2 linked regions of the Saccharomyces cerevisiae S288C genome follow. Changing the gene in region 2 together with the main gene of any one other region gives a genetic interaction. Each region holds a gene or a part of one and is shown on either strand. Other genes may lie near its edges.

The links.
Region 1: mutations in CBP4 (region 2) and MBA1 together harm fitness less than expected from each alone (positive genetic interaction), as found in Saccharomyces cerevisiae (2 studies listed by BioGRID).

Annotation. Positions count from the first base shown.
Region 1 is NC_001134.8:598,462-601,959, forward strand, and holds MBA1 (Mba1p), read right to left. Parts: upstream 1,499-3,498; coding exon 662-1,498; downstream 1-661. Other genes in the region: YBR184W (uncharacterized protein), read left to right, coding at 1-473; PCH2 (Pch2p), read left to right, coding at 2,092-3,498. UniProt on the Saccharomyces cerevisiae protein: Mitochondrial inner membrane-associated mitoribosome receptor that spatially aligns the mitoribosome exit tunnel with the membrane insertion machinery and allows cotranslational protein membrane insertion.
Region 2 is NC_001139.9:845,377-848,550, reverse strand, and holds CBP4 (Cbp4p), read left to right. Parts: upstream 1-2,145; coding exon 2,146-2,658; downstream 2,659-3,174. Other genes in the region: ERG1 (squalene monooxygenase), read left to right, coding at 128-1,618; YGR174W-A (uncharacterized protein), read right to left, coding at 1,810-1,896.

The sequences.
Region 1 (3,498 bases), on a different chromosome or scaffold from region 2:
TTAGCGCTGATTACTGTTACAGTGCAAATGAATTGACATTATTTCTTTTTGTTATTCGAACAGGGCAAAAAAAAGTACTTTATCGATCTATTCCTCACAACACAGCAGCAATTGAAAAAGACAGTTCTTTTGATACAGAAAATAGAAAGAGAAGGTCCGAGGAAGAGGTTGTTCTTAAATGTAGGAAGTGTTCTAATAATTCATTGGCATTAAAAGAAATCAGCACCTATCGTTTGGATAGCGCAGAAGGTTTTGAGAAGTCTCAGCCTCTAAAAGATGAAGCAAAGCTCAGTGATATGAATTATGTACAAGGTAGTATCAGCTATAACAGGACTATTCTTACCGGCTTATGGAAATTATTTCACAGATTGTGCTGCAAAGATCGTTATAGGAAAACCAATCTGTCAGAAACATTGTTCTATGACGATTCAACGGAAAGATGGGTTAGAATGGGAGAGTTAATGCACTATTGAAAGGGAGATGCTTCAATAACTTTTTTCATGAAAAACTATTTAATAAATTTAATATATATACTTCAGAATGAAAAACAAATGAATAGTTTTTACTGAATATGTAAGTGGTATGTGGAATAAGAAACTCAAATGAAGCAATGGCTATTTACAGATGTTCCAAAACTTTTCGCATTTATATACATATTGCCTTAGCTTGGAGGTAAACGATATATATCACCGTTAACTTTCATTCTGTGTATGGCAACTTTAGCATCGTCCTCGTAGCTTTTCGGTAATTTATCATTTGGTTTACTTTCAAACAAAGATCCCATTAAAATCATATCATTAGTTGTAGCATCACACAAAAAGGCAATATAGTCTACAACGTCACGGTCTAACGTCTCAGTCTTCTTAGTTTGCTGATTGACTTTAATTAGTCTTTGCTTCGTATCAAATTTGTAAACCAACTGTAAATGCTCTAACGGCATTCCGGGAATCATGATTGGTTGCACTGAGACTAGTTTAGGAACTGCATTAAACTTTATCAACTGCCAGTCCAGTGTTGCATTACCTGGAAGTTGACGGGACCTAGCCTCGAGAGCTTCCTGAACCCATAATGAAACTAACCCTTTGATGTCCGACAAATTTTTATGAGCAAATGACGTGTTTACATTGATATACGTCTCTATGGCTTTGTTTTTCCAGAGTAAAAAAGAAGGTTTAATGCCTGATTGAAAACGAAACAATGCGACTTGAACAGAGTTCAAACCAAACGTGTAAAGTCTTCTGATCAATGCATTTGCAACAATGAGAGGATGAGCAAATACATTTGGAAGGTTCTTGTAAGCCGAGGGGATAAATATTTCGGCAGCAACACCCAGGTGCCGAGGATTAAAATCTTGCTGCTTACTTTTATCTTTCTTCTTTGTAGTTTCACTTTCTTTATTCAAAATTAACCTCGAAGTTGAAAATAATCGCCGCTTGTTAAATGATATCAACAAGGATCTTGGAGGGAAGAAAAGGCATGTAGATCTTAATACACTCATCTCATAAGCTTAGCTGAATGGATAGGCTTGCTTTCTGATGGAAATTTGCCTTGCTTTTCCAACTATTCCATTACTCAGGTTTTATTTTTTTATTTTGTAATATGGGGAGAAGGCCGGCAGAATATTTACGGACAAATGAATAAATTGGATTGGATTGACTAGTGGAACGTGTAAAGATCGCGATACTCCGTACCAATCACCGAAAGATTGCCCGTAACCGAAATGACTCCATTCTCTGAATTTTTTGTGAAACCAATATCTGAGACTCTTCCTTCATCTTATCAACGTATTGTTCAGTCAATTAAGTAAGAAGTATATTTGAGCGCAGCCTTAATCATATATAGCACCAGTTATATGTTTGCCCCTCTCTTGAGTTGAAAAACACATAATACATAGTACTGTACTTTTCTCTTTTTCATCGTTGGCGAAAATATAATCTTTCTCAAAAATATATATATATGTATATATATCCTTAGATTTGCCGTTGACAATAAGGTGGGCGGCAAATCTACGAAATGCGAGGCGGTTAAAAGAGAGTGACAACATTTTCATAAAAATATTCTGATCTCAAACTGAAGACATAAAATAAGGATATGAGCTACATAGTTGACCTACAAGTGCGAGGATCATCTCTGAGGGTTATCAAATGTATGTTTAGAGAGGATGAGCAAATTTCTTCTCTACATTCTGGTTCTGACTCGAAACAAAACAGCAACAAAAAGCTGGGAGAATTTTTGAATCTGTTAAAAGCAGTGGTCAAGAGGAAGTTGGAAAGTTTCCCAAAAGACCGTTTAAAGACTTCGATTATAACTGGCCAAGAATTAATGAGAGAGGGGCAAGGAAGTATTGAAATTAAGGATCCACCAACGGAGGCGCAACAACATTTGATTAGAAGCCTAGCAAAAGTTTTATTACACCAGTTTTCAAGCATAAATGGCAAAGTTAACACAGTAAATGAAGGACAAGATAATTTGTTTCTATCCTTATTCGTTAAAAAAATTTCTATAGAGCAACAGTCCACATCACACGTCTCTATTAAATTGAACTTTCATGAGAAAATAAATTTGGGTCAGCACATAGATTCTATTTTAGATTCAGAGGAGACCAACGAGTCGGACACTTATCACATGGGATCTGTTGACGAGTTCATTATATATCCCTTTTGCTGTCTGGAAGAGCAAGATGAGCTGAAAAATGGCAGCATACTGTCCACAGAGTTCGACAAGATTGACTTAGAACTAGACGAGGATGATGGTTTTGAGGGAGAAACTTTAAACAATTGTATCAATTCGGTGGGAAATTTTGACATTCCACTAAGTAAGCAAACACTAAACTTAGTAAATATATCATATCTTCCAGGCACAACTTTCGAGGGCCAATGGGAATCGTTGTATTTTGGTAACAATATTAAAGAAAGGTTATATAGCTACGCAACTATATCTCTCAAGATAGCAAGATTCAAACAAACTGGAGACTCCAATCAAGAAGACATTACAACGCTAATCACAAATAATAAATTACTCCTTGTCCATGGTCCTCCGGGAACAGGTAAAACAACGTTATGCAAAGCACTTTGCCAAAAATTATCTGTGAGGCGGGAATTTTCAGACGGTTCCGATACCATTGATACTAATTATAAGGGGATAATAATAGAATTGTCTTGTGCACGCATCTTTTCTAAATGGTTTGGAGAATCGTCAAAAAATATATCAATAGTATTCAAAGACATTGAGGAGCTTTTAAAGGTCAATGAGGGACGAGGGATCTTTATATGCCTTTTGATAGATGAGGTTGAAGCAATAGCAAGTTCAAGAACAAATTTGTCAAGTAGAAATGAGTCAACAGATGGAATCCGAGTTGTGAACACTTTACTTACGCAACTTGACAGGCTGAAAAAATACCATAACTTTTTAGCATTAGCCACGTCTAATTTATTAGATTCATTAGATGATGCTTTTGTTGATCGAGCAGATGGAGTTTTTTATGTTGGAAATCCAACA
Region 2 (3,174 bases):
TTTTTTTTTTCATTGAAAATTATATATATATATATATATCAGAACAATTGTCCAGTATTGAACAATACAGGTTATTTCGAACAATTGAAAAAAAAAAATCACAGAAAAACATATCGAGAAAAGGGTCATGTCTGCTGTTAACGTTGCACCTGAATTGATTAATGCCGACAACACAATTACCTACGATGCGATTGTCATCGGTGCTGGTGTTATCGGTCCATGTGTTGCTACTGGTCTAGCAAGAAAGGGTAAGAAAGTTCTTATCGTAGAACGTGACTGGGCTATGCCTGATAGAATTGTTGGTGAATTGATGCAACCAGGTGGTGTTAGAGCATTGAGAAGTCTGGGTATGATTCAATCTATCAACAACATCGAAGCATATCCTGTTACCGGTTATACCGTCTTTTTCAACGGCGAACAAGTTGATATTCCATACCCTTACAAGGCCGATATCCCTAAAGTTGAAAAATTGAAGGACTTGGTCAAAGATGGTAATGACAAGGTCTTGGAAGACAGCACTATTCACATCAAGGATTACGAAGATGATGAAAGAGAAAGGGGTGTTGCTTTTGTTCATGGTAGATTCTTGAACAACTTGAGAAACATTACTGCTCAAGAGCCAAATGTTACTAGAGTGCAAGGTAACTGTATTGAGATATTGAAGGATGAAAAGAATGAGGTTGTTGGTGCCAAGGTTGACATTGATGGCCGTGGCAAGGTGGAATTCAAAGCCCACTTGACATTTATCTGTGACGGTATCTTTTCACGTTTCAGAAAGGAATTGCACCCAGACCATGTTCCAACTGTCGGTTCTTCGTTTGTCGGTATGTCTTTGTTCAATGCTAAGAATCCTGCTCCTATGCACGGTCACGTTATTCTTGGTAGTGATCATATGCCAATCTTGGTTTACCAAATCAGTCCAGAAGAAACAAGAATCCTTTGTGCTTACAACTCTCCAAAGGTCCCAGCTGATATCAAGAGTTGGATGATTAAGGATGTCCAACCTTTCATTCCAAAGAGTCTACGTCCTTCATTTGATGAAGCCGTCAGCCAAGGTAAATTTAGAGCTATGCCAAACTCCTACTTGCCAGCTAGACAAAACGACGTCACTGGTATGTGTGTTATCGGTGACGCTCTAAATATGAGACATCCATTGACTGGTGGTGGTATGACTGTCGGTTTGCATGATGTTGTCTTGTTGATTAAGAAAATAGGTGACCTAGACTTCAGCGACCGTGAAAAGGTTTTGGATGAATTACTAGACTACCATTTCGAAAGAAAGAGTTACGATTCCGTTATTAACGTTTTGTCAGTGGCTTTGTATTCTTTGTTCGCTGCTGACAGCGATAACTTGAAGGCATTACAAAAAGGTTGTTTCAAATATTTCCAAAGAGGTGGCGATTGTGTCAACAAACCCGTTGAATTTCTGTCTGGTGTCTTGCCAAAGCCTTTGCAATTGACCAGGGTTTTCTTCGCTGTCGCTTTTTACACCATTTACTTGAACATGGAAGAACGTGGTTTCTTGGGATTACCAATGGCTTTATTGGAAGGTATTATGATTTTGATCACAGCTATTAGAGTATTCACCCCATTTTTGTTTGGTGAGTTGATTGGTTAACTACAGCTTATAAGGGAGAGAGGATAGGAACCGTCAAACATTAAGCTGCACCTTTTTTTTTTATTACAGAAGTCGGCTTGGAAGGCTTGTATAGTACATTACGATAAACACATCTTATTTTTATTTATTACTTATTTATTTTACATATTTTCAAAAAAATTCACATATCATTTATTATTAACCGAAGTGTTTTATACTTTTTGTTCTTTCCTTAAAAATGCCTCCAACAGAAAAGGAAAAATGGCTTGATATGCTTCAAAATATGCATTGAGATTCATATTCGGTTATCAATTAACGATATTACTTCCTTAAGTGATATTAAATCAAGCTTGCCGGATTCTGCAGTCAGAATTATACATAATAGTATTTGTGCTCTCGTAAATCCTTTCAGAATTACACCATAGTAGTCTTTGTGAATGTTCTACTTATTAGAATAGATTATTGCTAGTTTATCTCACTTTTCATTCCCCATATCCCTTTTTTTGCTCATCCCCCGGGGTATTTTATCAAGATAAAATTTTATATACATGCAGTGCGCGATAACTCCTAGAGAGGCAGTAATAGCAAAACAAAGACAGTATAAGCATTATTTGGGTATGGAAAGACCATTGTGGGTACGTTGGTTGAAAGTCTATGCAATTGGTGGCGCTATTATTGGAAGCGGGTTTCTGCTTTTCAAGTACACAACGCCAACAGATCAACAGTTAATCAGCCAGCTTTCCCCAGAATTACGTTTACAATATGAGAGGGAGAAAAAACTACGTCAGTCGGAGCAGCAGGCTTTGATGAAAATTGTTAAGGAAACTTCTCAAAGTGACGATCCAATTTGGAAGACGGGCCCCCTTCAATCACCTTGGGAAAGGAACGGTGATAACGTTCAAAGCAGAGATCACTTTGCTAAGGTGAGGGCGGAGGAGGTGCAAAAAGAAGAGTTGGCTAGGATCAGAAATGAACTGTCTCAGCTAAGATCTGAAACGGAGGAGAAAACAAAGGAAATAGTCCAGGATAAGCAGGTTAAAAGCTGGTGGCGCTTCTGGTAGATGGGTCGGGTCACTCAATTAGGAAGGGCAGCTTGAACTTTTGCATCCTAAAACATACGTCTGTGTCATTTATGATATATTATTTATTTGTACACTGTAAATAGGTTTAAAAATATAACTTCATACTTATTTTTAGCTATTTTAGTTCCCATACTTGGGGATGGAAAAAACATTGCGCAAGCCCGGAATCGAACCGGGGGCCCAACGATGGCAACGTTGGATTTTACCACTAAACCACTTGCGCTTGTTATTTATATGAGATTATTGCATCATGCAATGGGGTAATGTCAAGGTTCTTGACAATCCTAATATAAACAGTCTTAGGGAAGTAACCAGTTGTCAAAACGGTTTATCAGCTTGATTCACGGGATCTTACTTATCCTATATATTATATAAAATATGGATCATACTAAATGGTGGAAGCGCGGAATCTTGGATCTAAACCAATTGTTCAGATACTTATACGTTAGAGTAGGTTAGCTAAGGAAGGCAGAGTTTTATTTTCATGTTGCTCAT